Linked DNA regions of Diceros bicornis minor. The protein of the gene in region 2 binds, or shares a complex with, the protein of the main gene of each other region. Links are inferred from orthologs where the notes say so. Each region holds a gene or a part of one and is shown on either strand. Other genes may lie near its edges. The genes, in order: STK11, CAB39 and STRADA.

The links.
Region 1: the proteins of CAB39 (region 2) and STK11 are in contact, whole or in part, in a crystal structure (PDB 2WTK), measured with the Homo sapiens proteins. The link is inferred for Diceros bicornis minor from reciprocal best matches to the Homo sapiens genes CAB39 and STK11. Residues at the interface, in NP_001124321.1 of Homo sapiens: Gln109, Gly111, Thr112, Lys196, Leu197, Leu238, Asp239, Arg240, His241, Phe243, Met246, Ile250, Val280, Ala283, Asn284, Pro285, Glu317, Gln318; in NP_000446.1 of Homo sapiens: Gln100, Arg103, Arg104, Glu165, His168, Ser169, Gly171, Leu201, His202, Pro203, Phe204, Ala205, Ala206, Asp207, Asp208, Phe234, Arg301, Ser307, Arg310, Lys311, Lys312.
Region 3: the proteins of CAB39 (region 2) and STRADA are in contact, whole or in part, in a crystal structure (PDB 3GNI), measured with the Homo sapiens proteins. The link is inferred for Diceros bicornis minor from reciprocal best matches to the Homo sapiens genes CAB39 and STRADA. Residues at the interface, in NP_001124321.1 of Homo sapiens: Leu26, Glu27, Lys28, Gln29, Tyr55, Gly56, Thr57, Asn58, Ala85, Asp86, Gln88, Leu89, Phe92, Glu93, Lys96, Arg107, Glu138, Leu141, Ile145, Ser176, Thr177, Phe178, Asp179, Ser182, Asp183, Glu221, Asn222, Tyr223, Val224, Arg227; in NP_001003787.1 of Homo sapiens: Pro64, Leu104, Glu105, Cys107, Ser108, Asn109, Val112, Gln116, Leu119, His120, Lys123, Leu124, Phe125, Asn126, Thr136, Phe137, Ile138, Asp140, Asn141, Leu143, Tyr185, Met189, His223, Gly224, Arg226, Val426, Asp427, Asp428, Trp429, Glu430.

What each region holds. Positions count from the first base shown.
Region 1 is NW_026691553.1:692,271-701,847, forward strand, and holds the start of STK11 (serine/threonine-protein kinase STK11), read left to right. Parts: upstream 1-5,587; 5' UTR 5,588-6,308; coding exon 6,309-6,598; intron 6,599-9,577. UniProt on the Homo sapiens protein: Tumor suppressor serine/threonine-protein kinase that controls the activity of AMP-activated protein kinase (AMPK) family members, thereby playing a role in various processes such as cell metabolism, cell polarity, apoptosis and DNA damage response.
Region 2 is NC_080776.1:19,249,205-19,259,496, forward strand, and holds the start of CAB39 (calcium-binding protein 39), read left to right. Parts: upstream 1-6,404; 5' UTR 6,405-6,654; intron 6,655-10,292. UniProt on the Homo sapiens protein: Component of a complex that binds and activates STK11/LKB1. In the complex, required to stabilize the interaction between CAB39/MO25 (CAB39/MO25alpha or CAB39L/MO25beta) and STK11/LKB1.
Region 3 is NC_080757.1:46,575,561-46,585,203, reverse strand, and holds the start of STRADA (STE20-related kinase adapter protein alpha), read left to right. Parts: upstream 1-5,457; 5' UTR 5,458-5,560; exon of another isoform or gene 5,561-5,584; intron 5,585-5,590; exon of another isoform or gene 5,591-6,004; intron 6,005-9,643. UniProt on the Homo sapiens protein: Pseudokinase which, in complex with CAB39/MO25 (CAB39/MO25alpha or CAB39L/MO25beta), binds to and activates STK11/LKB1.

The DNA.
Region 1 (9,577 bases), on a different chromosome or scaffold from region 2:
CAAATTTCCCCGGCGTGTCTCTTATGAGGATGCTTCTCACTGGTTTCAGGGCCCACGTAAGTAATCCAGGATGAGCTCGTCTCAAGATCCTTAACTTGGTGACATCTGCCAAGACCCTCTTTCCAAGTGAGGACCCAGTGACGGGTTCTAGGGATTTTGACGTGGGCATTGATTTGGGGGCCACCATTCAACCTGCTACACCTTACTTAAAAATAAAACACCAGGGGCCATGTCAGGACACTTTCTCCCAAATGCTTCAGCTGGCACATCACCCCCAGGAATGTTTTGAAGCAAAATCCTAGGAGTCACGTGCTTTCATCCATAAATACTTCAGAGTGTGTTTCTAAAGCAAGGATTCCCAACCCAGGCAATCCAGGGGACACTGGGCCATGTCTGGGGACATCTGTGATTGTCACGACTGGGGGGTCTCCCGGCATCGAGTGGTGGGGCCAGGGATGCTGCTCAACCCCCCACAGTGCCCAGCACGGCCCCCACAGAGAGTGACCCAGCCCCGAGGTCAGCAGTGCCAAGGGAGGATCTGGTCTAGAGTGAAGGATGGGTGACTCTGGTGTGTGAGTCCGGGCCTCCCTGCTCTATCTGCGATGACGTGTGTGACGAGGCCCAACAAGGGGTGACAACAGTGATGATCTGGTGTCACTGCCCCAAGGGATCGTGTGTGGGCTTCAAACTCTGTGGTCCCGAGCATCTCACACACACACCCAGACACACACCCACACACCCACACACCCACACACACACACACCCCCCTCCAGGAGTCTCGGCCACTATCCCCGCCCGCCCCCTGGCGGCCACAGAGGTCCACACGCACTGGCCTCTCCCGGGCCGCATCCTAACCTGCAGCCATGGCTGGATGGCTGGATTCCCAGGGTGGGGGGCCGACCTGGCTTTGGAAGGACCCCCTCTGGCTCCTGGGGGCCCCGCTCCTCGGGTCAGGGGCTGAGTTGGGCCCTTGGAGAGGGTGGTCCTGGGATCAGGGACCCGACTTGTAAGAGACCCACAGAGTTGGAGGAGATCCAGGATGGGGCGGCCGGCCAAGAGAGTGGACAGGAGGCCCGTTGGCTTCCTCTGTCCTCAGGGGGGAGGGGGTCTTGGCGTCAGAGCTGGGGAAGTGAGAGGGTCAGGGAGGGGGAGCTATGAGGGACGAGTGGGTCTGGGGGCCACTGGGCACGAATGTCTGTGTGTGGGGGTCATGAGTGGGCAGGAGAAATGAGAGGGGTGAGGGACAGAGGGTAGAGGAGAAGTGGGCAGAGGCAAGGCCTGAGCCCAGGAGGGGCTGGTGGACTCCCACATATAACATGGGGCCCCCACCGGTCACCTGGGGCTCCTACCTATAACCTAAGGCCCCCATTTATAATCCATCTATAATATGGGGTCCCTACCCATTACTTGGGGCCCCCTGTTATTACCTGGAACCCCTTCCTATAACCTGGAGCCCTCACCTATGGCCCGGGGCCCCCCACTTGTAAGATGCCCCCATCTATAACAAGGTCCCCCACCTGTAGCCTGAGCTCCCCGCTATAACTTGGGGCCCCCCACTTGTAACTTGAGGCCCCCTCCTATAAGCTGGGGCCCCTCAACGGCAACCTGAGACCCCACCTCTAACCTGGGGTCCCACCTGTCACTCGGGGCTCTTAACAAAACCTGCGGGAGGGTGAGGATGGGAGAATGCAGAGAAAGGATTTTCCCAGGGCGACCACAGGTACTCATAACCTTCGTCTGTTCCTGCTACTACCGTTCCCATTCGTCACAGTTTGCCCCCCCAGAGGTCAGGCTGCCTCTTTCAGTCGGGAGCGTCATCGCTGTCTCCGAGTCTTCTCTCCGTGGTGGTTCCTAAGGTCACAGAACATGTCACTGCCACAGCGTCTTCCATCTGATGACATATGGTATTGTTAACCCCCACTCAGAGAAACGGAAAGTGAGAGGCCAAGACCCCCCAACTGAGGACTTCCGCCGGGCAAAGGGCTGGGGCCGAGAGAGGGTCCCTGGAGAGGCTTAGAGCAGCCCCCACGGGGGTCTCAGGCCCTGTGATGCTGGGAAGGGCTCTTAAATCTGGTTCCGTGTTGGCCTGCCCTGGGTTTGATGCTTGCTAGGAACTTTTACGTAAGCAGGACAGCTGAACAGCTCCGAGACCCCCATCACGCTGAGCAGACGGTGCTAGAATCCTCGCAAGGCTGCTGGGGCTCCCAGGCTGGGCACGCAGCTCCACCAGGGACCTGGGCAGGTGGCTTCCTTTCTGCAAGCCTCAGTCGGCTCACCTGTGAGGGGGACGGAGGGAGGACTTTAGAACATTCCATCACCCCAAAAAACAGCTCTGTACTCCCTAGCAGTCACTCTCCACCCCCTCCCCAGCCCCTGGCAACCACAAACCCACTTTCTGTCTGTGGATGTGCCTGTTCTGGACATTTCACATCAGTGGAAACACACACCGCGTGTCCCTCTGTGTCTGGTTCTCTCACTGAGCATCGTGTGATCAAGGTCCATCCACGGTGTGGCTGTGTCAGGGCCTCACTCCTCTTCATGGCTGAGTAATACTCCAGTGTGTGGATGGACACGTTGTGTGTATCCATCATCCGTTGATGGACATTTGGGTTGTCTCCACTTTTTGGCTGCTGTGAATCAAGGTGCCGTGAACATTTGTGTACAAGCTTTTGTGTGGATGTGAGTTTCCGTTTCTCTTGGGCATATACCGAGGAGTGGAATTGCTGGGCCATACGGTAACACTATGTTTAACCTTCTGAATTTTTTTCGAAAGTGGCTGCACCATCTGTATGAGAGTTCCCGTTTCTCCACATGCTTGCCAATACTTGTCATCGCCCATTTTTTTGATCGTGGCCTTCCTAGTGGATATGAAGTGGTTAATTTTAATAACATTTTTTTTTAACCTAACACATCCAATTATATCATTTCAACGTGCAATCAATGTAAATTATTGAGATATTATATGTATTTTTTCTCATGCTAAGCCTTCAAAATCCAGTGTGTAGTTTACACTCACAACATCTCAATTTTGGCAGCCATATCACAAGAGCTTAATAGGCACATGTGAACAGCGGCTGCTGTACTGGACGGCACAGCTCTCATTGCTGAGGATGCAGCAGTGACCACGAGAAACCGACCCCGGCCCCCAAGAGCTTCCAGTCTAGTGCCAGAGACAGAATAAAAACAGATAATGAAATATATAAATGAGAAAATTTCTGAAGGTGACAAGCGTTCCAGGGAATCACCAGGAGGGCTTCTCGGAGGAGGTGGCATCTGAGGCGAGATTTCACCTTCACGAATTCTTTCTGCAACAGTCACCAAACATTTCCCAAGTTCCTTCCATGTCTCCTGCACATCGGGAGAGGGGTGTGGGCTCCGCGAAGGAGAGCAGGGCCTACATGGGCCAAGATTGTCAAACACACCCCCAGCTTCCAAGAAATTTCAGTTTAAGGCAGCACTCAAAAACACAGAGGATACCGAAAGGAATTTAAGTTGGGCAGTGTTCCCTCCTCTTCTGCTTCCAGGCCAGATTTTTTAGAACGGATGTTATTTCTTCCTGAAATGTTTGGTGGAAATTCACCAACGAGATATCTGGGCCTTAATTGTCTTTGTGGAAAGGTTTTTCAGTACAGATTTAATCTCTTGAATAGACATAAGACTATGCAGATGATCTATTTCTTCTTGAGTGAGCTTCTATCTCAGTGTTTTTCAAGGTATTGGTCCGTTTCAACTACGATGTTGAATTCATGGGCATAGAGTTATTCCCAGTATCTAATCCTTTTGCTATCTGTAGGGTCTGTAGTGACATCCCTTCTTTCATTTCTCACCTGTGTCACCTTTTTTTTTTTTTTTTGAGGAAGACCAGCCCTGAGCTAACATCTGCCAATCCTCCTCTTTTGGCTGAGGAAGACTACCCCTGAGCTAACATCCGTGCCCATCTTCCTCTACCTTATATGGGACGCCACCACAGCATGGCTTGCCAAGCAGTGCCTCGGTGTGCGCCCGGGATCTGAACTGGTGAACCGCAGGCCGCCGCAGCGGAGCACGCGCACTTAACCACTTGCACCACCGGGCCGGCCCCTGTGTCATCTTTTTTCCTTGGTCAATCTGGGTAGACTTTTACCAATTTTTTTGATCTTTTCAAAGAACAATCATTGGTTTCATCGATTTTCTTTATTCTTTTTCTATTCTATTTCATGTGTTGCTGCTCTGATCTTTATGAATTCCTTCTCGAAAGGAATTTGGGGCTAATCCACACATTTTTATTAGGGCTTGCTGGTCTGCTGCTGTGGCTTGTGCCCTGTCTCCTCAGAGCCACACCAATCCCCTTCTACGGGTCATTTGTGAATCTCATGGATGTCCGGAACAACATGCATATGGGCACGCTCAATTTCGTGCAGTTTTAGGGAGTTCACAGGTCTCGGGTTCAGAACCCCCAGCCCTGAGCCCCAATGCTTCCACTTTTTGGCTATTTGTGAAACAAGAGCTTTACTCAAGACAAGCGGTTTGCTCTGACAAAAGAATAATCTAGTGCTAAAAAGCAGAAAGGCAGAAAATTCAGGTATGGGAGGTACTTTCAACTTCATGGAGCAGTATTGTGCCAATTCTTTGTGTTTTCCACCCAAAGCACTTGGCTGGCACCGCCCCCGCTCTGTTCTGAGCTTTGGCTCCTGAGTTCTTTAGGGTAGAGACCGTCCAGAGCACCTCTCTCGCCCTCCAGCCCCATTGATGCCTAGTGATGGCTTTTTGCCTCCCATTGGCCACTTTGGGCTACTTTTTGACCCTTGACCTCGCCTCCAGGGGGCTTTCGGACGAGGGGCCCTAGCAGTCACCCCCAAAGGTCCCAGAGCCGCATCCCGGCCCACGAGGGCGGTGCCCACTCCCTGGCCGTTCCGAGGAGGCCGTTAGCACTCACGACCTTCGACCCCAGCCTCAAACCCCTCCGAGGTCAACCCCGCGGCCTCGCCTCCCCACGCTCCCTTCCCGCCCCCTCCGCGTGACAGGCGCTTCGGCGGGCCAATGAGCGAGCCGTATCCACCCCTGGGGCGGGGCCGCACGCGGGCCAATCCCCGCTCGCCCTCCCCCCGGGTCCAAATGGCCCAATCGGCGGCGGCGACAGGGCAGCCCGCGGGGGCGGGGCCTGCCGGCTCAGCCAACGGGCGGGCACGTCGGCGCCGCGAGGGGCGGGCCCCGCGGCGGGCGTGCGGCGGCGCGGCGGCGCAGGGCGGGGGCGGGAGGTAAACAAGATGGCGGCGGCGTGTCGGGCGCGGAAGGGGGAGGCGGCCCGGGGCGCCCGCGAGTGAGGCGAGGGGCGGGCGGCAGCGGCGGCGGGGCGGCCGGACTGCGGCCGCCTTGCATGGGCTGGGCCCCCGCGCCGCCCCGCCTGCTTCACGCGCGCGGCGACTGCGGCGGGGGGACGCGCCGCCCGTGCCCCGGCGGCCTCGGGAACCCCCGGCCCGGGGCCTGCGGCCTGCGCCGCCTCGGCCCCCCGGAGCCCCGCGGGTCCCCCGCGCCCCGAGGACCGCGGCCGACGGCGTTCGGGGCGCAGAGCGAGCGCGGGCTGCCGTTTGGGGCGGGGGGCGCCCGCCGGGCGCGCGCGGCCTCTCGGGGGTCCCCGGCAGGTGTGGGGGCGCCCCAGGGGCAGCCGGATCCGACGGAAGTTGCTCCCCGCGGCGCGAGGGCCCCGGGCAGCCCCCCGGACCCCCGACGCGCGCCCGGGGCCGGCGAGAGCGCACCGGGCCGGACGGAGGCGCCCCCCGCGCTGTCCGGATAGGCACCTGCCGGCGTCTGGGGCGCCCGGGACGGCGGAGACCCCCCAACACCGCGCCCCGGCCCCGGCCCAGCTCGTCCGCCCAGCCTCGGGGTCCCGGGACCGGCCGGCCGCCGCGGGGCCCCGGCGCGCGCCCTGGCCCGCCGGTAATGGACGGCCCGGTGGAGACCCGGCTCTGCGGCCGCCGCGTTGGTCCGAGGGTCTGAAGTCCCTGGAGGATGACCTAGCACTTCAGCGCCCCGAGGGCCCCCGTGGACGCGCCCCAACGACCCGGAGCTGCGAGGCCCGACGGCACCCGCACTCGCCGCCCCGCACCGTCGGCGCCCGCGCCCCGGACCAGGCGCGCCTCTCGAACTCTCGTCTCGTACAATCGTTTCTTTTCGAGGAAGGGTTTTTTTTTATTTCTTTTTTTGCGTTTTTGTTGACTTTTTTTCCGGAGAAGGGAATTTTGGGGGGAACGAAAGGAAGAACCGCTCACCCGGGACTACAGTAAGGGGCGTCAGGGCTGCCGGCCGGAGTCGGAGGCCCGGGGTCCAGGATGGATGCGGCGGACCCGCAGCAGCTGGGCATATTTACGGAGGGCGAGCTGATGTCCGTGGGCATGGACACGTTCATCCACCGCATCGACTCCACCGAGGTCATCTACCAGCCCCGCCGCAAGCGGGCCAAGGTCATCGGCAAGTACCTGATGGGGGACCTGCTCGGGGAGGGGTCGTACGGCAAGGTGAAGGAGGTGCTGGACTCGGAGACGCTGTGCAGGAGGGCCGTCAAGATCCTTAAGAAGAAGAAGTTGCGGAGGATCCCCAATGGGGAGGCCAACGTGAAGAAGTAAGTTTGGGCTTCCTGGGTCGGGCGCCGCCAGCCGGGGACTTTGGTCGCCCGCCCTCCCTCCCTCCCTCCCTCCTTCCCTTCCTTCCTTCCTTTTTTCTTTCCTTTCTCCCTCCCTCTTCCCTCTCTCCCTTCCTTCCGTCCTCCCCTTCCTTAAAAACCTGAGCTGACCAGCCAGCTCCCGAGTCCTCCCTGCCAGGAAGAGCATGTTTGGAAACCCGCTTAAGTACTTTCAGAAAGTCGGGACAGGTTGTTGCTGCGGGGCGTCCGCCTGTCAGTCTGTTGGGGGGCGGATGTCCAAGCCCTCCTCCGAAGGGGGCGCGCCCCTCTCCCCCCGACCCTCCCAGCTGTCCGGAGCACTCGGGTGCCCGGTGCAAGCAGCCAGTGTTTGGCCCTGAGAGCGTGTGCTCAGAAACCGCCAGGGCCGCCGGCAGGTCTTGGGCGCAGCGTGCGGCCGGCGCTGGGGCCAGGCCAACACGCTTTGTTGATCCTGTCGGAGGGGAGCCCTGCGGTGGCCAAGTGATTGTTTGCACCGGCTTATCAGTCAGCAGGGGGCAACTTAGCCCTTTCTTGCCGGCCTGGGTGGTGACACTGGACGTGTCTGTGACTGCAGGCCCCGGGGACTCCCCCCTCCCCCAGAGGGGAACAGGCTTGTGTCCAGCAAACTTTTTAAACAAGTATTTTTGGAGCCCGTCTGCCCCAGGCACCTCGGCAGGTTTGGGGTTTGTGAGCAAGAGTTGCCCCAAGGACGGAGGTGGGGAGCTTTGCCTCCTTCCCTCTTGCCAGTTTCAGGAGGGGGCCCCTTATCGCTGCCGCCTCGGTGCACCCCGCCCCTTGGCGCACGCTCCCCTCCCAGCCTCCGGTTTCCAAGAAGTGGCTTATCTAACAGGCTGGCTGGTGGCAGGGCTGACTTATGACCTTGGACGGTCCACAAGCTTGCCAGGCCCGTCCTGGGCAGTGCTGCCCCCGGATCCGCTTTCACCTGCCTCCTTCCCGGCCCGGCCCGCTCTGCCTGTCTGCACAGCCCGCGAGCTGGCTGTTTTCCTGCTCTGGGACAGCCTGGGGGTGCTGGTGTTGGGGTCGGAGCGAGAACTGAAGCCGGGCTGGCACGGGCTCCAGAGCCGGTGCCCCTTGCTTGGTGGAGCAGTAGGCTTCTTTGGGGTCGGCCGGCACGGTGGGCAGTGTTGGGGTGAGGTCTTCTCAGTCTCTGTGACCCAGCCTGTGGACACTGGGAGGAGGCGTGGCCGGGCACCCCCGGCCCCTCCCTCCGTCAGTCCTGTGCCAGTCTCTTACCTGTGAGGTGGGGGTTGGGTGGGGGCCACAGCATCTGGGGAGAGACAGGCTGGGGGACCCCTCACCCCAGTCAGAAATCCCCACTCCACTGCTGGCTTCTCGTTAAGCCTGGAGCACGTGGGGGTGAGGCGGCTGCCTAGCAGGTTTACCCCAGCTTCGGGTGGGGGACAGTGAGCTCCTGCGTTCTGGGTGCTGACTCTGGAAACAGATCCCCTCCCGCTCTCCAGGGCCCCTCCTTGTCCTGGCTCCTGGTAGGCCTCGTGCCCCGTTCTGTCCCGGGAACAGGGTGCTGGTCTCTTCCTGCCTGGCCGAGCCCTCCAGGGTGGAGTCGGCCCGGGTCCGGGGGGTGTTCTGGTGCTGTGGTGCCCCAGGCCCCAGCCTCTCGGGAGCAGCGCCCTGCGGTAGGAGGGTCTCCCAGAGTTTGGTCCAGGGGGCCGGGTCCCAGCTCCGACTGGGCTGTGTGGCTGGAGGCACCCGAGCCCAGCTGCTGGCCGTCCTGGGGCTTCAGTGTGTAAACCCGGCCAGGGGCAGCAACTGGTGGCAGCAGAGTTGAGGGGTCCCTGGGGGGGGGTGTCAGGGTGGGCAAGTGCCCACCTTTGCTAAGGCCTTGTGTGCGTGTGATCAAGACGCTGGTTTTCAGAAACGCTCGCGCCCAAAGTCAAGTCAGAGGACGCTTCACCACCCCGAGGAGTTCCCTTCTGCTCCACGGGGCACATGACCAGACCTGGCTGCAGGGCCACGGAGCGCCAGTGTCCCAGCCCCTGGTTTCCTGAACAGTCACCCGAGGTCCCGAGAGCTTGTGGGGACACATGGGTGTGCAGTGTCCATCGGGAGCTGGAGAGGAAACCGAGGCCAGGGAGGCGGAGTGGTTGGCCGTCACCAAGTGGCCGGCAATTAGCATAAGATGTCACAGCCGCAGGGCGCTGTGCCGAACTTCATCAGCTCAGCCCTGGACGTGCAGAGACTCTGCCTTTCAGAGGTTCCCTCGGAGGGCAGGGCAGGGCTGGCCCGAGCTGTGCTGTCCATCCGCCTTCGCGTCTGGCACCAGGACCTGCCGGCTGTGCAGCTGGGCATTAGAACCCACCGTGCCTCGGGGGCTGCGTGCCGGGGGACATGCCTGCTCCACGGGCGCCACATCCCTTGTCCCAAGTCCCACCGAAGCGCTCTGGACTGGAGGCTCTCGGGCGCAGGCAGGGGTGTCCGCTCCCAGGCCCGAGATCCCGTCTCCTGGGCCGGCCTTGCTGCCAGCCGCCTGCAGGGAAAAAAGCCTCCTTTGTCTGCGAGAGGCTTAATAAACTCAATTCCAGTCGCCTCTCTGGTGTGAAGTGTCCAGAACCTTCCCCACAAGCCTCAGGAGTCCTCCAGTTCCAACGGGAAGCTTTTATCTTAAGGGGCGCTGTTTGCCCAGGTGGCAGGACGGGTCAGGGTGCCCTCCTGTCGCCTGGTTTCCTGCCAGGGGGGCTGCCGTGGGCCTGCGCTTGTCCCCCTCACTTGAAAAAAAGGTCACCCGTAACCTTAATACCGACGCATCTCAGCACATCTCCTTTGAGTCTGTTTTTAATGTGTTTTCTTAACCCATCCAAGCACTTTTTAATGAAAAACTAAACTCCCCTAAGCATCGTTTTTAAAAAATAAGTTCTATCTGCTTGTTTTTCCAGTAGGCAGTAGAATTGCAGGAGCGAACCC
Region 2 (10,292 bases):
CTTCCAGACCCTCTCTTGACCAGGCCTTCCTCTCCACTTTCCTGCCTAAAAGTGCCACCTATGCTCATTATTTCCATTTCCATATCTCCCATTCGCACCTTAAACCCACTGCCATCCGGGTGCTTCTTCACTCATCAATCCACTGGTACAGCTTTCTCCAAGGTCACCAAAATCCTCTGTTGCCACATCCAGCCGATAACTTCCAACCTTGTATTACTTGATCCTACTGCAGCACTAGACTGTTGACTATTCTTTCTCTTAAAATATGCCCGTGGGACATAACACTTCCCTGGTTTTCCTCCTATCTTCTGATTGCTCCTAGATGGTGTCCATCTAAGTAAATAGCCCTAGTATGCAACAAGTTGCCCATGTCAAAAGCCTGATTTTCATCCTATATTCTTCATTCCCCCCTACCATCTATATCCATCAAATCACCAAGTACTACCTTCTAAATATTTTTTTTTCCTAACTGATTCCCTTTTGTCCATACCCACTGCCAGGATCCTAGCTCAGCCCCATTATCTCTTGCCAGAATGAGAATAACCTCCTGCTGGTCTCACTTCCCCTAATCTGATCTTCTTCCCATCCACAGTGCACACAGGATCAGAGCGCTGTTTCTAAAGCTAAAGCACGCATCTGAGCTTGTCATTCCATGGTTTAAAGTTTCAATGCCCACTCCACTCAACCTACCCCCACTGCCTTGGGGGTGTTGAAACCCAGTCTCCTAAACGTGGATGATACGGCTCTTCATTATTGGACCTTTGCTTATCTCTCCAACATTATCTGGTACCAACTCCCCTCCTCAAATCCTGCCATTTGTGACCTTAAGGACATTCTGCTAAGTAGAATAAGTCAGATAGAGAAAGACAAATACTGTATGTTTTCACTTATATGCAGGAAAAGCCAATCTCATAGAAATAGAGAGTAGAATGGTGGTTGCGAGGGGCTTCAGGTGGGAGAAATGGAGAGATGTTGGTCAAAGGGTACAAACTCCCAGCTATGAGATAAATAAGATCTGGGGGTCTAATGTACAGCATGCCAACTATCATTAACAATACCGCATTGTGTACTTGAAAGTTATTAAGAGAGTAGATATTAAATGTTATCACCACACACACACACACACACACGAATCATAATTTATGTGAGGGGATGAAGGTGTTAACTAACCTTATCGTGGTAATCATTTTGCAATATGTACATGGATCTAATCACCACATCATACACCTTAAACTTCCTTATATGTCAATAATATCTCAATACAGCTGGAAAAAAAATAGCAATAAAAAATAATTCCATTCCCCAAACTCTAAATTCTATATACTGAGCCATCATATGCACCTCCCCAAATTCACTGTGCCTTCTGCTTTTGGTGCTATTCACATGATTTTCCTTGAATGTTTACCCCCATCTTTAATAGGCTAAATCTTATTCATGCTTCATGTCTCACTCTTCTGTAATTGCCTGTCAACTGGTGTGTCTCTCCTGGACTACAAACTCATTGAGATCAGGGTCCATGTATTGTTCAGTGTCTCATCCCCACTGCTTGTGTCCAGTCATTATGGGCTCTCAAGTAGTATTTGTTGAATAAACAAAGTTTCAGTGAGATTTAGAGCAGGTTTGGTGGGTATGAGGGAGTGGGAAGGGTGGGTGGATGGGAGGAGCAGTTAAACACGAGAGTCACAGAGTTCAAGCTTCAAAGGGAGAGTCGTGGTGATGGCCGAGACCAGGGTGGGGCTAACCAAGTGGCTGTTGAAGAGGAATGGAAGTGAAGGTCACTGGAGCAGAGAATACGAGGGAATTATGACCCAACGTATTGGATGAGTGGCATCTGCGTTGCCCAGGAGACGTCAGATACGGGGTGGGGTAAGCAAGGAAGCCATGAGTCAGGCTCCAAAGTCCTTTCATAGATGGTGTGATTAAGGCAGGGAGGTGCCTTCACTGAGGGCCCAGCTTCATCGGAGGAGAGGAAAGGAAATGAAAGTGAGGGAAGAGTTACAGGATTGACAGGATCAACACTGACTCCAGGATAATAACGACCCTGCCTTATGAACCTGAGCTCTGCAGACACTGCACAGGAGAGTGAGGGGCCTCTGGAGAGGGTTTCAAGATGAAGAGGTGGTGGAATTTCCCAGAAAGAGGTTGTACCTACAAAGAAATATATTAATAGAAAGGGCTTTCCAGAGAGCTCAGTGGAAGGATTGAGAAGGTGTCTTCCCAGTGTAAATTCAAGCGGGCAAATGACATGGCTCCTTCCACTTTGGCTTCGGAATTTGTTACAAATCCCTCTCCAGAAATTGGCTGCCACAATTCTCAACTGTAGTGGGCTTATCCCAGTGAAGAGATTAACCTGGAATCCTGCTCTGACCCTTAAAGCAAAGGACTCAAACTCCTGCATATAGGATTATCCACTTCCACGCGTTCTTTTATTCTGTGAGAAATTAGGTCCTGACTTGTTTTTGTGGAATATCAGCCCAATAAAGGCCTCCCCTTGGGACTACAATTAAAAAAAAAAAAAAAGCCGTGGGAGTGAAGTCTTATTGAACAAAGTTTCAAATTAGATAAAACTTGCAGTCGGCTCACTGGAGAGGGTGGTGCACCTCCCTCCCTTCCACAGTTTCTAGAGAGAAGCGAAGAGAAGCTCCACGAACCAGCCTGCTAGGGATTTTTCAGCTGATTTCCCTCCGAGCCGAAACAGTCCCTAGACAGCTATGTTTTTCTAATGGCTTCTGCCTGAGATAAATTGTCCTTGATTGGGATGGACTTCACTTTTAACACGCTGTTATTTTACTTCTATTTCATACTTTTTATTTAGGTTTTTCATATATATTCTCTAGCAAGATTAGTCTAGCTTTCTTTTTGTGTGTGTTGTATTTATTGAGGCTTTGGTATCATGGCCGTAACAAGAATAAGAATTATCAGCATCCCATCCGACTCCCAACTTGTTAGAAATGCAGAATCATGGGCCCTCCCCTGAACCAATGGAATCGACATCTGCATTTCAACAAGACCCCTGGTAACGCATATGGACATTACCGTTTGAGAAGACGCCCCAGATCTTGTCATTACTGTACACTGCTCCTTCCGTAATCTCAGTGTAAGCAACCCGGCTCTCAGCTAGCACCTCCTCCTTTCCAGCTCATTCTCCCTACGGTGCTGATTCTAACAATCCTTTCACACACGTTTCATTCCATTGATCCTATCACTTTTACAGGGTGTCTCCCCTCCTACTGCCCCCATACTCATCTGCATTTTCTCACTCCCTCCTTACTGGCTTGGACTCAACAGTTGGTCATTATTATTATTACTTCCTGTATATAACCCTCGCCTTCCTTTCCCCTTTCTCTCTCCATGGAGTTATCTAGCAGAAATAACCCTGGTTGCATCCAACTCCCCACCTTCCTGTGCCTGCACCTTCCCAGCAAAACGTGGCCAACAGAAAAACACAGAATAACCCCTCTGACTGGTCCTTCTTCACATCTCCTCTCCCCTCAAACTTCTGACACCTCCCCACCCTCCACACGAGGAGCTGATGACCTTGCTTTCTATTTCCCTGAGAAAACAGAAGCCTTCAGAAGGGAACATCCACATGTGCCAGCGCCTTGTCCAGCTGGCTGCCTGCCTCTGTGCCTACACTCTGCCTGCCCTCTATTACTGTGAGTGGACGCCGCCTTGCTGGTATCCAAGGCCAGCCCTTCCGCTGTGCGCGGCAACCTTTTCTTGCTCACTCAAGGACAGCTCCCCAGAAAATGCCCCCCCACCTGCATCATCAAATTTTCTCTCACTACTGAATCATTCCCATCAGCACTTAAGCCGGCTGTAATAGCTCCCATCCTAAAAGCAAAACAAAACGAAATAAAACAAAAAAATCAGCTTTGACCCCACATTCCCCTCCAGCTACCATCCCATTTCTGTGCTCCCCTGTAGAGCAAAACTTCAAGAAAAAGTTGTCTACACTCGTGGTGTCTCTTTCTAGAGCCCCATCCTTTCTAGAGATCTTTCTAGGTCTCATTCTTTCTAGAGATCACTCCAATCAGGCTTTCCTACCCATCCCTGCTGAAATAGCTTTTCCCCACACCACTGGTTACCTCTGTGGTGCTGACACCAACATCAACCTTCCTTGCATTACAGCCGCAATCGTGGCACTGATCCATGCTCCATCCCTGGTCGCCCAGCACACGATGCTCTCCTGGGTCTCCTTCTGCCACCCTCTGCTCAGAATCCTTCGCTGGTTCCTTGTCATCTCCCTGACCTCTCAGTGTCGGGGGCCTCGGCCTCGTCCTTGGCCTTGCCCTGTATTAACACTCTTTCTCTTAAATGATCTCATTGAGTCCTGAGATTTTACCTATTCTGAAGCCTCTCGAAATTCTCTCTTCAGCCTGGACCTCCCCTTCAAACCCCAGACTTCTAGATCCAGCTTCTTACTTGGGTGTCTAACAGGCAGCTCAAACTTGATATGCCCCCAAATAAATTCCCCAGTTCCTCCCTTCACATCTGTTTCTGTTTGTCTTCCCCACTTCACCAAATTGTATCTTCCAGTTGCTAGGGCAAAAAACCCAAAAACAAAAAAAAACTTAGAAATCAGCAAAATCCTGTCAGCTCTACCTTTGAAATGTGTCTAGCACCTGACCGCTTCTTTACACCTCCACGACTACCACCCTAGACCAAACCTGTCTTCTCTTGACAGGATTGTTTCAAAAGCCTTCAAACTGGTCTCCCAGCTGAAACCCTCAGGCCCTTCAGGCTGGTCTTCACACCAGGAGCAGCGTGATCCTTTTGAAATGTCAGACCACATCCTTTCTCTGCTCAAAACCCTCCAAATAGCTTCCCATCTCGTTCAGAGTAAAAACCAAAGTCTTCACTTTCGTCTATACGCTACCCACACCCCTCACCCCATCTCTACCGGCTCCCCTCACTCAGTGCTCTCGCCTTGATGCGCTCCACTGCGCCCCTCAAGCTTCCACAGCACATTCCCACCTCAAAAGCTTGGTCCTTGCTGTTCCCTCTGCCTTTCCACGCACGCAGCTCTCAGCATGCTCTTTCTTGTTGTAGCTGCTCCCTGTGGGAGGACTATAAATAGATACCCTGCACTCTCTCCCCTCCTTAGCCTGTGTTGTTTTTCTCCATCGCACTTAAGACCATCCAGTATCATAATGTGTATTGGTTTGTTTAGTTGGTTGTCTCAGGAGCAGGGACAGTTTCGTTCACTGCCCCACCACCTAGAATAGTGCCTGGCACACAGTGGATACTGAAAATACCTGTTCAATTACCAATTAAAAACAAAGAAACAAAAATATACATGTATGGCATTTTTATGTACCAGTCTCTTGTCAGAGCCTTGCAATGCATTATCTCCTTCATTCTCATAAGCCTATGGTGCTCTATTATTATTACACTTGCGTGTGTGTGAAGGAACCCGGGCACAGGGACATGAAATAGGCCATGGATACTAAATGATGGAGCTGGGATTTATTTATTTTTTTAAATAACATATGTTTTATTTCTTCAGCTGTTATTTTTGTGAGTGTGTGAGGAAGATCAGCCCTGAGCTAACATCCATGTCTATCCTCCTCTTTTTTGCTGAGGAAGACCGACTCTGAGCTAACATCTATTACCAATCCTTCTCCTTTTTTTCCGTTTTCCTCCCCAAAGCCCCAGTAGATAGTTGTATGTCATAGTTGCACATCCTTCTAGTTGCTGTGTGTGGGATGCGGCCTCAGCATGGCCAGACAAGCGGTGCGGTGCGACCGTGCGCGCCCGGGATCCGAACCAGGGCCGCCAGTAGCGGAGCGCGCTCACTTAACCGCTAAGCCACGGGCCGGCCCCTGGAGCTGGGACTTAAATCCAGGCTGTTGAGTCCTATTAATCTGGATCATTCCATCACTTTCCACGCAGGAGAGGATGCTACAGAGGATGCTCAAGTGAGAGTTAAGTCCATCGAAAGTACGAAACAGTCGTCTACACCAAGTCAGCTCCTGGCCTTTAGCAGAAATAAAGCTTTGTTAAGAGTTGAGGAAGTGGTCGTAGAAAGCGGGCGAGGGATTCCGCCAGGACGAGTGCTTAGACAGACGAGAAAGGGCTGAGCACCGACATTTAAGAGGCAGATGACAGAAGAGGAACTCTCGCCCTGGCTTCTGCTTTTCTCTGCGTCCGCTCTCGCTTGGGCCTGGGCGCGGACTCCGGCGCTGAGTCCGCCCGGCCGCCCGGGGGCGCCCGAGGCCGAGGGGGGCGTTGCGGCGCCGCCCGACGTCGCGCCCTCGGCGGCTGCGCAGTGCGCACGTCAAAGCCGGGCTCGGGCCGCGAGCGGGGAGCGGCGCGGCCTGGGGGAGACCGAGCGTCCAGGAGCCGGGGAAGGCGAGGGGGCTAAGGCGGCGCCGGGCCCCGCAGCAGCAGGCGCAGCCGCAGCCCGAGCGCGCGAGCGCGAGCAGCAGTGCGGCGGCCCTCGCGGGAGCCCCTGGGCCGCCGTCCGCCCGCGCAGCCGCCGCCGCCGCCGCGGGAGCCCGTCGCCCGGAGCAGGAGCGGGCGGAAGACGACGGAGGGGCCGAGCGCCCGAGCCGCGCCGCGGGGACCGAGCGCGCAGCCCGAGGCGGCGGCGGCCGAGGACGGGGACGGCGACGACGCGGAGGCGGAGAGGGAGCCGCCCGGCCGAGCCCCGTGAGTGACCCCGGCCCTGCTCGCGGCGCGGACGCTGCCCGGCTTCCGCCTGCCCTGCCCTGCCCGGCCCGTCACCGGCCCCGGGGTGCCTCCATTTTCTCGGGCCTGCCCTGCCCGGCGGCCCGGGCCCCTCCGCAGCCTCCCCTGCCCTCGCCGGCGCGGCGCCCGGGGGCCTGCGGCCGGGGCTCCGCGCGGCGCGGGGGCGTCCCCGGCCGGCTTCGGGAGGGCAGGGACGTGCGGGCCGGGCCAGCTGTCACTCCTACCGCACCCAGGCCCGGCCGCCCCGCTCCCGGCCCCGGGGCAACTTCCTGTTCCCGGGAGGCAGATCGCATCTCTGTGATCCTCGTTTCGGGAAAATGCCTAACCGATTTCCGGTCGGGAACGGCGCGGCCGGAGCGTCCCCGAGTTCGGTTGAGCCACCTCGAGCGCCGACTGCGTGCTGGCGCCCCGGTCGGTCCGCGCCCGAGGGATTCAAAGGTGAAGCGGGGCCCGCGGTCCCCTCCCCCGAGGAGCTACCGCTCTGGTGTGGGAGATAAGAGGAGTAGCACACAAATAATACGATACCAGGAAGGAGGTGATAAGTCCCGTGAAAGAACTGCAAGGTGCTAGGAAGGCACCCAGGGAAGACACGACCCATCGATCACTTCCGCCCAGCAGAAATCTGGAAGGCTTCCTGGGCGAGGCGGTGCCAAGCAGGGTCTTGAAGGCCCCATGGGATTTGGGAGAGGAGGGTTGCAGAAGAGACGATGTGTGGAGGGGCAGCAAAGCTAGAGGACAAAGGTAAAAAGACGTAGTCTAGCAATAGTGAATAATTCAGTTTGTTGCCTAGGGCCGTGGTGGGGGAGTGGGGATGGGCTAAAGAGGTATTTGGGGGCCAGATCCTTGAATGCTGTAGAGGAGCTGTTTGAGTGCCATTCTGAGGGAAACTTAGAGCTCGTTTCTGAGTGACTCATGAGTCCGGAAATGTAAGCTAGGGGATGTTAAAGGCGCTCTTGTGAAAGAAAAGAGAGGAGCCCAGGAAGGAGTTGACGTTCTGTGCCTTGAATATAATGCACTTTGAGATCGATTTTGACAGCTTCCCGGATATTCAAATAAATCCATGTCCAGACTAAGCAAAGTACCTTTTGCAAAAAGCTTCATTAGATGTTAGGCTCTTAAGAGTTAATGGAAAGATGTGAATAAAATAAGCTCGTGTGCGCATGAGGCGTTTCTGTTGGTGCAGTTCACTAAAATGCACCAAAACTTCTTGCGCTGTGTATTAGGTGTCTACACTTCAGGATTACTGAGCTGAACATAACTTCTTTGAGATGGCCTTTGTGTAAACCAATCTAAATTGATGATTTTAAGAAATCAGATTGTTACTAATCTGAGATTGAAAATTGGACATAGAACCCTTTTATAGAAAGGTAAAAATTTCTTGGAGTTTTTAGTTATGAAAATATTTATAGGAGAGCCAGAAGTGAGTCTTTAGCTTTATTTTGTACATTTTTTCTAATTAGTAGCAAATAATTAGCAGCTGTATTTGAAGTCTAGGGTATATGATTTATGGGAGCAGCTTAGAACGTTTGTTGGTTTCCTTTTCAGTCTTTTTTTTCTTTACATGATGAAATAAACTGCATATGTGTAAAAAACTTTTATTAAGCTTTTCTTTTTTGGTCATTAAATGTCTTCATATAAAAATATTTTTACTCAAGTAAGGGAAGTCTTAAATGTATTATTTTTTTTGGACAAGGTTGCATTATTTACCTCAGATAAAATGCAGTAGTCATGCTTAATAACTGCTACTGTGGACAGAACTTGTTATAAAGGCTTCTTGTTTGAAGTGTATTTATTAACTTCTTTGTAAGATTTGAGTCCTATTGCTTGTTGACTAGAGAAAGGTTTTATTACTAGGGGTGCGTGCTGTCATCAGGTATGGGAGAGATCTCACATCTCTGCTATATGAGTGGATGTACTTTTAAAAAGGCATTATAAAAAGATTACTTTCATAGCTGGTATAATCTCCCATACAGTAATGCACCTCACTTTCCCTTTTCACCCCCCCCCCCGAAAAAAATAGTCTTTATGCTAGGGCCATCCACTTTTTGATCATGACATCACAAAGATTCAGGCTAGATGTATTTAGTTTTTCTATTGGTATTTCTTTAGTAAAATATAGAATTTATCATGAAATAATTTGCTGCTATAACAAAAGGGGCTTTTATGTTTTTTGATTCAAAGCAGTTCACTAGCATTTCATTATTAGTTCATTAGCATTTCAGATTGCAGGTTTTTGTTTAAACCAGTTTTTTCCCTGGTGCTTTACATTTTAAAATGTATTAATGAGGTCTCTGTTTCTCTTTCTAATGGCGTATAAAGTGAGAAGCTGAGTTAGACTGTATAAATTTTCATAAAGTTAATATAAAAGAATAGCTAAGAAAGTCCAGTTTAAGTATGGGGTTTGGTTTTATAATTTGGTTTTATTTAAATCTTTATTTGTATATTGCAAGTATGTATACCACAAAGCATCGTTTATTACTTTTGAATATTTACTAAAGTGTTTTCTTTTGATCAACTTTTGTAGGTTATAGATTTCTATCATCACTGCCTTTTTTCCAGGAGGGATTGATCACTGATCATTCACAGTTTTGCCATCTGTCATAAAAATACAGACATACATCCGGATCGTGCCCCCCCCCCCCGCCTCCACCCCCCCAACACCATGCAAAAATAAAATCCAATATAGGGCCGAATTTCATTTCAGGTAGTGTCTTCTGGTTACTTTTCTGGTGTTGTTTCTATTTCAAAAATCTATTTTCCTCTTTTCCATGGCTCCTTTTAATTAGGAATTTGATTTTATGGATGTTGTCTGGTGTTACAGAAATAGGAATGTGATAGGTGGATTAGTATGGATATTGGCAAAATGTTGTGTGATAAAATCGTGGGAAAGAAGATCAAATCTCTGAACCTCTGGGTTAGGTTGCTTGTGACTCGTTTTGTTATTTAATTATTGAGGTGTAAAGATCTTGTATTTGTGTGAATGCAGATCAAGCCAGGTAGTCTAAAAATTGCATAACATTTAGTCATCAGTGTATATTTTGTTTTTATTGGAGAGAAGACTCGTGTTGGAGCCATCCTTAATTAAAGAAGGAATTGAGCTTTGGGTGTCTCACCACTCTAATGACTATCCAACTGGACCCTAATCGCTGCCTTTATCAGTCTGGAGTGTGGGGTAGAGCAAAGTGAGGCAAATATTTCTACCACCAGCATTTGTAAAGTAGACCCGTCTGGGAGTAAGCGCTAAATGTTTGTTCTGCTTCTGTTTCTCAGGCCTTCCAAGGATTGTGGGAAGAGTTAATACAGGGCTGGGTGGCAGATGATATATACTGATGGTGGTGAAATTAAAGTTAACAGCTGGTTGCCATCAGAATTCTGTTTTGTGGTGTGTGTGCATGTGCACGTGTGTGTTGTCCTCTGATGTGCCATTTCTATCTCACTGAGCTTCCTGGCCCCACCGTGCTTTTAACTTTTCGCTTGAGATAGAAGGGGTGAGAGCACGGCAGAATTGTGGTTGATTAGCAACTGTGATGTTAAGCTGGCAGAGGAAGGAAGAATGGCATTCAGAGAATTGCAAGAGGTCAGTCAGGTGTGAAGTGGCC
Region 3 (9,643 bases), on a different chromosome or scaffold from region 2:
ATATATTAAACTTATTGCCAAGAATCTCAGAGTGCCGCCTTTACTTTTCTGGGATTGCCCTACAAGAGTATAAGCCCATAGGAGTGTTCTGTCTGTTCAGTAAAAGTCAGCACTGAAATGCTTTTCCCTTAGTTGTTACCAGTTACCATTTTTAGAATGTTTTATATTTTTAGAGCCCCATGTGTTATTCATGGGCTTCTCCCCAAAGTCCCCCTCTTGAGTTAAGACACCATTATCTCTCCTATGAATGAGAGGACAAAGAGAGAATAGTGTTGACTATCACACACTGGAAAACCACTAAGCCCTCCAATCTTGTCTGCCTTGCCAGGGCACTTAGCAATGCTGAAACAAGCACTGGCCTGGAAGATAAAGACTTGGCTTTTATTTAGTGCCAGCAAAACCAATTACTAATCCTTTGACTTTGGGCAAGTCACTAACCTCTTTGAGTTTCTGTTCTTTCTGTTTTTCCTTCCACAAAGTGAGGATTATAATTATTTTCCCTACCTACCTCCCAGTTAGGTCAATACCAAGAGATAATACATGTAAAATTCTCCTGTAAACGATAGCACTTTAAAAATGTAAGGTTTCTGGGGCTGGCCCGGTGGCGCAAGCGGTTGAGTGGGCGCGCTCCACCTTGGCGGTCCGGGGTTCGTAGGTTCGGATCCCGGGCGCGCACCAACGCACCGCTTGGCAAGCCATGCTGTGGCGGTGTCTCATATAAAGTAGAGGAAGATGAGCACGGATGTTAGCTCAGGGCCAATCTTCCTCAAGAAAAAAGGGGAGGATTCGCATTGGATGTTAGCTCAGGGCTAGTCCTTCTCACCAAAAAAAAAAAAAAAATGTAAGGTATCATCTAGAACTGTTCTCCAAGTGGTGCATTTTTGCTTGACTCTCTTGCTTCCCTTTCTCCCAGTGGAAACCAAGCAGGTCCTTTCAGAGTTCTCTAACTTTATCTGCAAAATTTGATGGTATTTGGAGGCGGGAGGTGGCGGGGAGGGATAGTTTACTACTCTGTTTGCTTAGTAATAGAAAACTTTTCCCTGTCAAGCACCAGATGTGAAACTCTTTTCTTTGGATGGGACTTAGACCACAGGAAAACAGTGATTGGAATTCTCATTCCACCCATCCAATAGGAATTGGCAATATGAAAATTATTTAGAGCAGTGTTGTACAAGGATCCTTTGGTTTTGGTGGGAGGGGTGAAAACTGTACTTTATCATCTCAGATTCTGTTTTCTTACTGTTCCTGCCTCTGCTCATTCTGAACGATTTGCAAGGATGTAAGGGGGAGGAGACAGTTATACCCATAGCAGTGTCTTCTATTGCAGACTGCTAAAACAGTAGCAAAAAGTATTACTTTTCTCGGTTTCTGGAGTTTGATGATGAGCAAAACACTTATTTGCATATGGAAGGAAGTATAATGTTTTTGTCTTTGCACAAGTTGAATGCCATCTCAGCTCCATGAACTAAGTAATACCAATTTCAGAAGAAAACCAGTTTTTTTTCCTGAAAGACAGAAACTTGTGTCTACTACTATACTGCTTTTAATGGATATTATTCATTTTATTTTCATCTTTTAAAATTAACTGTCCTCTTTAATTTCACCTATTTGGTTTTATCCAAATGGTGTAACTTTTGCTTATTTAAAAGACACCCAAGCCTTTTTAAGTATTTAGTTCCATGGGAGTTATTTCAAAATCAGATAATATGACATCTGCCTAGGTTATTTGTTGTATCACCTTTGCTTGAGGGAGAACTCTTAACTGCTTTCCTATCACATTTTAAACTTAAATGCTTAAATAGCTCTTCTGCATATTTTTCTTACATGTAACTGTATTACTTAGCAAGGGTGTAACAAAGCTGCAATTGAAGCCAGTTTTCTGCTTCAGGAAAGAGCCCTGGATTTGTGGGCAGGGACCTAGGTGCTGTCCTAGTGCTTTAATAAGTCTATTTCCTCATCTGTAAGTGGGCATTATCTTCTCTCCCCTTTCTAAAATGGCTGTTCAGAGGATCATATTAGATAACATGTATAAAGTACTTTGATATATAAAATGCTCTAAAAAATCCTGCTCAACTTGTTAAACTACACATCTATGCATTTTTATCTCTCAAGTATTCTGGGCAATTAGTTTTGTTTTTTTTTTTTAACTTTTTATTAAGGTATCACTTACATAAAGTAAAGGGCACAAATATTAGCTGCACACTCATTGAAGTTTTACATTCTTATACACCTCTGTGCCTACCACGGAGCTGAAGATTGAAAACATCTCTAGTGCCCCAGGATGATCTCTTGTGCTCCCTCTCAGCCATTAGCTCCTCACCCCAAACTACTGTCTTTACTTCCATCAGCATAGTTTTGTGTTGTTTTGTACTTTACATAAATGGAGTCATACAGTATATAGTCCTTTGCATCTGGCTTCTTTCACTCAACATTATATGAGAGGCATGTATTTTTGTGTATAATTGCAGCTGGTTCATTTTCACTGCTGTTCAGTATTCCGTGTCTTTTGGTGGATGCATGTGTACCTAGGAGTGGAATTGCAAAGGGCTTTCATAGAAACAATTTTTCAAATAGCTTTTTGCCTTGCCACCAACAAAGAATGTGGGTTCCTGTTGTTCCAGGAAGAACAGGATGTCTCAACAACATTTGATATTGTTGGCCTTTTTAATTTTAGCCATCCTGATGGGTGTGCAGTGGGGTCTCATGTGGTTTTCATTTGCATTTTCCCAATGACTAAGGATGGTGAACATCTTGTCATAGTTTCCCAGCCATTAGAATTTCCTCCTTGTGTCATGTATACCAAGTCTTTGGCTCATTTTTTTTTGTTGGGTTGTCTTTTTGTTATTGAGTTGTAGGAGGTTCTAAAATATATATATTATGAATGCAAATCCTTTGTGAGATTTATGTATGGTAAGTATCTTCTACTCTGGTTTGTCTTTGCACTCTATGGCGTTATGGTGAACAGTATTTGTGTGTGTGTGTGTGTGTGTATATATATATATATATTTGAGGTAACATTGATTATAACATTGTATAGGGTTCAGGTGTACAACATTATAATTTGACATCTGTATATACTACAGCATGCTCACCCCAAAAGTGTAGTTTCCATCTGTGACCATATAATTGACCCCTTTACCCATTTCGCCCTTCCCTCAACCCCTTTCCCTACTGGTAACCACCAATCTGTTGTCTGTTTCTATGAGTTTTTGTTTTGTTTTGTTTATTTTGTTTTTTATATTCCACATATGAGTGAAATCATACGGTATTTTTCCTTGTCTGACTTATTTCACTTAGTATAATACCCTCAAGGTCCATCCATGTTGTCAGAAATGGCAAGATTTCATCTTTTTCATGGCTGAATAGTATTCCATTGTATATATACACCACATCTTCTTTATCCATTCATTAGGCAATTAGTTTTACGTTGCTCACAGTTAATTTATGCGGTATCTTGAAGAGGGCAGCACTTAGTTTAAACTGGATGCTCAAACTGGATGCTCAGAGTTAAAAACAAAACAGCCAGGATCTTCAGTTCATCTCCATTCCTCTAGGCTTCAAGCCAGTTGCAAAAAGCTCCAGAAATCTTGGAGAGTCCCAACACTTATTATAAGTAAGTGAAAAACTTTAGGGAGCTTGTGCATCCCAGGGTTCAGTCAAAAAAGCAAAGCCGGAAAAGACTGACTTTGTAAACTTTGAAAGTTGACTTTTCATTACACCAGTTTTCTAAGTTATCTGGATTTAGGAGGCCCTTTTGCAGGAAAAATAAAGCTAATGAACATTTGCTCCTTGAAACAGTCACAACAGAGTCTGGGCCAAAAGGTTCACTAACCAGCTTTTGTGGGCAGTCATGAAGAAGGTGAGATCTTTTAGCTCCCTTGGCCAACTGACATCCAATTAGAAAATGACATAGCTCTGGGCTAGGGCTAGATATTAAAATAAATGGAAAGTACCTCCATGTTTCAATTCCACATTGTGATGACTGCATGAAGTTTGGCATCTTTTCAGGCACTATCTTCTCTAGTACCCTCAATTCCAAAGACCGTCTGTGAAGGTCTTTTCCAAAGAACACCACCAAGAATTTTACTTCAGTTTCTGTTACTATCTTGCTTTGTCAGTTTACTAAGTTTGCTGCTGAGAGAGGCATCTTATTTTGAGAATGAAAGAATAGTGAGGGTAGTGCTTTGGAATGTTAAAGCACTAGATAAGATCAAAAGGATGTATGTAAAATTGAATGAGACCCTGAGGTGCATATTCGTGCACTGGCAAAGTTCATATTGTTTCAGCGTCATATTTGCATCACTCCCTGTTTGGATGTAGCCGAACTTCTCCCCCATTGTGGAAGTTAGACCAGTATAAATCCGTGTCAAGGGTCAGAGCTGGGACGAGTGAGTGTTCATTACTTGATGATATTTATCCAATGTTGGACACCCCTCTCCCCCGCACCGTGGGTAGAGTAACTGAAAAAACGCAGCCTCACAGAAGGGAGTCTTGCTCCATAATTTCTTCATTTCTCAAGCCCTGCATGCCTTGGTTTAGGCTAGCTTCTCCATAAAAGCAAACCTTATAGGTTTCTGCAAACAGAACATGTCTCTCAGAGTTGTGGATGAGGAAGGATCCAGGGACAAAAAGATCCAGAAGGGAAAAAAATGATAGTTCCCATTAGATGAGCCATTTTCTTCCTTTTACAGATAAGGAAACTGAGGCACAGAGAAAGGTTGGGTTTCCCCTTTGCAGCTTGTCAGTCTGGTGCCCAAGAGGCCAAAGTGAGGAGCATTTGAGATGTCTTCAAAGAAAAATGCGAGACATTCAATTTTCCATTGAAGTCCTACCACACGAAATAAAAACAAAAACAAAATCCTCAAAGTAGCCAAGTCAGCAGCCAGTGTTGGTTTGCCTTTCTCTAGTCCCCCTGACTCCTCAGTATTGAAATCTTCCTACTTCCTTCCTGCTGCGCGGGCGGAGGCTCTGGGGAGCCTGTTTGGGACCCCGCAGGCCGCACCGACGACAAGCTAGGTTTTTGGCTTCCACACACTTGGGGAAATGGGTCCCTTCTGTTGGGAGACGGAATGCCCTCAGGTACGCGCTTCACGCAATGAGAGAACTCAGAACCGTTGAACCGCTCTCCGCGGGTCCACTGCTGGGGGCCTCCCCGCGCCGCGGCAACGCGGACACCGGGCGGAGCTTCCTCAGCAGCGCCGGCTGGGAGAGACCGGGCGGAGCTTCCTCACCCTCTAGGGCCCGGAGAGACGGGGCGGAGCTTCCCCACCCACGGGGGCCGGGCCGGGGCGGGGCTTCTTCCGCTGGTCGGGCGGGGGCGGGGTGGGGCGGGGTGGGGCGGGGCTCCCTCAGCCGCTCTGGCCAGGAGAAACGGGGCGGAGTTCCGTCAGCCGCTGGGCCCGCGGGGGGAGGGGCTCTCTGCCCGCGCGCTTGGGTCCCTGTACTGCGCATGGCACGTTGCGTACTTCCCTCCCAGCAACTGGCCGGGCGGCGGCGCGGCCATAAACTAAAGAGGCGGAGCTGAGACGGGGTCGGGATTGTTTGCTGACTCCAGGACCAGGTACCGGGCCGGCGGGGCCGCCTGGTGTGTTCCAGGGATCGGTCCCTCCTTGCCCTGCCGCCGATTCCATCTCCTCAGGGGCGGGCCTTCGTCAGAGCGGCCTTCTCGGGTCCCCCGTCGCCCTCCACGGGCCCTTTTTCACCCGAGTCCTCCTCGATTCTCGCAGTGAGGGGCTGCAGCCCGAGAGCAGAATAGGCTTGGGCCTGGCCGGGAGACTCAGGAGCGGAGTTGCCGGGCGGGAGAGACGAGCGCCTGCTTTCCCTCCCTCCTTCCCCCCAGACTTCTAGGTGGGGAACCTGGGGCCCACGTGTCGGTTTGTCCTCCTCAAGCAAAGAGGCGGCAGATCCTAGTGCTGACCTCTTCCCCAGCACCACCACCACATCCCCATCTCATCCCGGGCTGGGCAGGCAGCAGGTCAAGCCCCCGTTAAGGACAGAGATCCAGGTGACTCCCGGAATCAGCCCAAACAAATTGTCTTGGTTTCCAAGAATGTTTAAGTGCTCACAGTAGATTTGGGGTGAAGGTGGGGATAAGGGGTAGGGAAGTGAGCACGAGGGAGGGGGAGTGGTTAAATAAAAGTTTTCGGGAAATGGGGAACTAACTTCTCTGCCCTGTGCTAAGATATCCTTTGTTGTGAGTGCCATCAGGTCCATTAGACTCCTGGCAACCTTGTGTACAGCAGAGCTGAACCCTGCCAGGTCTTTTGCGCCATCCTCTCACCTTCTGGTGCTGTATCAGACAATGCTCTGTTGATATTCATAGGGTTTTCATGGTCAATTTTTTCAGAAGTGGGTCGCCAGGTCCTTCTTCCTAGTATCTCTTAGTCTAGAAGCTCCCCTGCAGCCTCTTCACCATGGGTGACCCTGCTGTACCATATAGTTTTCAGCATAACAGCAACACGCAATCGCCATAGTATGTCAGCTGACAGATGGGTGATGTGGTTCCCTGACCGGAAATGAACCCTGGGCTGCATTGGTGAGAGCCCCCAATCTTAACCATTAAACCACCAGAGCTGGCTTCTAAGATATCCTAGCATATTCTAACTTCACTTCCCCCAAAGAGGAAAAGCATTGGAATTGGTCCTTTTTTTATTGTAGTATCTGTTGAAGTAGAACTGTATTTCATTATATATTTGCAGCATTAAGACAGTTCTTCACTGACTGATTCATACTTTCTAGAGACACCCAAGACTGTTTCTTGTCCCTGAAAGTTGAAGAAACCAAATTTCCTCTGATTATCTGCCTAAGGCCAAGAGCCTATTCAGCCATTAGTTGCAGTGCTGAACTAGTTAAATCTGTTCCCCCACCCTTTAACCAAGTTGATTAGAGGTATTGAGGTTCAAATGCAGTGTTTATAGTTGTAACCCCAGACATGGAGGAAGTTTAGAAAACCAGTGGCAAAAATAAGAAAAAAGAAAAAAATCAAGGTAAATGAATTCTCCTTTCTATACCATTTGGCGTCTGGTTAGCAGTATTGTCAAATCAGGTAATGTCTTCTCAGTCATATATTTTTGCACACACAGCCTTGACTCTTCTCCCTAGGCTTCTTGATTATCACCGGTTTCTAGAGCACAGGCTTTGGAACAGATCTAATCAGTCCTCTACCACTTGCTTCTGTAACTTTGGCGTTTAATCATGTGGGGCCTCCATTTCTTAATCTGTAAGATGGGGGCGATAATACTTATTGTGAGCTGATCTCTGTGAAGCATTTAGCACAGATCCTGGCACATAGTTCACCATAAACGCTGGCTGCTTTTATTATTTTTACTATTATGAATTTAACAGATAGAGGAGTGCCCATATTATGTGTTGGGCTCAGTAGCCCGTGGGAATGCAACAGTGAACAAGATGCATTCCCTGCCCTCAAGGGATCTCTATTCTAGGGAAGGAGACCAATAAATAGGCGATTAAGAGTGTGGTAGGTGAAAGGATTGAATACAGAGGCTGAACATCTAACATAGGTGGGGGTGGGGAGGTGGGGGGTGAGGGAGGATTTCTGTAGCACAGAACATCTGAGATGAGTAGAGAGGGACAGGTCAAAATTAACCAGGTTGTGGGCCGTGGCTTAGCGGTTAAGTGCGCGCACTCCACTGCTGGTGGCCCGGGTTCGGATCCTGGGCGCGCACCGACACACCGCTTCTCCGGCCATGCTGAGGCCGCGTCCCACATACAGCAACTAGAAGGATGTGCAACTATGACATACAACTATCTACTGGGGCTTTGGGGGAGAAAAATAAATAAAATTATTAAAAAAAAAACTAACCAAGTTGGGGGAGGGAAGGTGGTCTAGTAGGGGAAGGAGGATCTTTAAAGTTTTTCCTTTGAGCTCCATTTCCTACCTGCCTTTCAAGAGCCATGTCCTAAATATGGACCTATCCTGAGGCTTGCTTCCCAGCCTTCTGCTTTTCTCTCACCATTTTCTCCTTTAGTGAATTTCTGTCATTCGTATAGCTTTGGCTGCTAACTCCCAAGTCCACATAGGCATCTCTAACCTCTCTTTTAAGCATCAGTCTTACTTTTCTAACTGAATGCTATGTATTTCCACTTGGGATATATAACTGTTTTCTCAACCTCAATATGATTTAAAAACTCGAACTCATTTTTCCACCAAAACCACTTCCACCTCTGAGCTTTCCTGTTTCTGTCGTTGAGACACTACTCTTTTCCCAGTTACTTTGGACATTAAAAAAATCGGAGTCATCAGAATTGTCCACAGGTAGAATGAGCTCTCTGATAGAGTAGTGAGTCTCTGGCATGGGAAGTTGTCAAGCAGAGATTAGATAACCTTATATCCAGGAGTTGGTAAAAGCTATTCCTCCAAAGGGTGGAGGATGGGCTAGGAGATTTATGGTGTCCTTACTAACTAAATATAATTTCTTTATTTTTCCTTCTCCCCTATCCATCTATATCACCACAAACATGGTCCACGATAATTGTATTCTAACTGGCATTCCTTTCTCTGGGTTATTTTTACCTCCCCGTCTCCCATCCCTTTGCAGATTAGTATTCCTTAGAATGTTCCTTAGAACAAGGCTTCTCAAACGTTAGTCAATATGATAGTCCTCAAAGCGGCAGCAGTACCACCATCTGGGAGCTTGTTAGAATTACCAGGCTCAGGGCGGGCCTGGTGGCATAGCAATTAAGTTTGTGTGTTCCACTTTGGCGGCCCGGGGTTTGCCCGTTTGGATCCTGGGCGCGGACCTACTCACCACTCATCAAGCCATGCTGAGGTGGCATCCCATATAGAAGAGCTACAATTCTACAGCTATAATACACAACTATGTACTGGGGCTTTGGAGAGGAAAAAGAGGAAGATTGGCAACAGATGTTAGTGCAGGGCCAGTCTTCCTCAAAAAAAAAAAAAAAAACGAATTACCAGGCCCCACTCCAGACCTTCTGAATCAAAATTTGCATTTTAACAAGATCCTCAAGTGATTTGCATGCACAGTAAAGTTTGAGAGACACTACTTTAGACCAGTGTTTTGTGTCTGTCACCTTTCTATTCAAAACTTATAGTTGCTTCCTACTGCCTGGTGAATAAAATCCATACTCTAGCATGCACTTAATGCCTATTCATGGTTCTTGTATGTGTAGAGTTCTGCTTCTGTAACTGCCCTCACATTAATTGGAGAGTATATGTAAAGTGCTGACACCCTTCTCAGCACATTTGGTGAGTCAGTCAATATTACTGAGTGCCTACTATGTGGTAGACACTATTCTAGAAACCGAAAGATATACCTGTGGACAAGGCAGGTAAACGCTAAATAATCAGTAGCTAATACTATTTCATGCTTGGAATTCTCATTTTCTTTAAGTTCTTTTTGACATTCAAGCCCCACTCTTTCAACAAAACTATCCAGGTCCACCCCAGCTCATAGTAATCTTTCCCTTTTCTGAACTTCATAAGGAGTTGCCCATTTCTACTTGTGCATTCCCCAGACCTGCTGAATTAAAATTTTTGAAGGCGGCAGTTTGGGCGTCCTTAGGTTTTTGTAAATACACAAGTTAATTTGAAACACATCCTGGTTTGGGAACCGATGGTTCAGATCATTAATGAAGCTGTTGATGTGGCAGTCTAGAACCA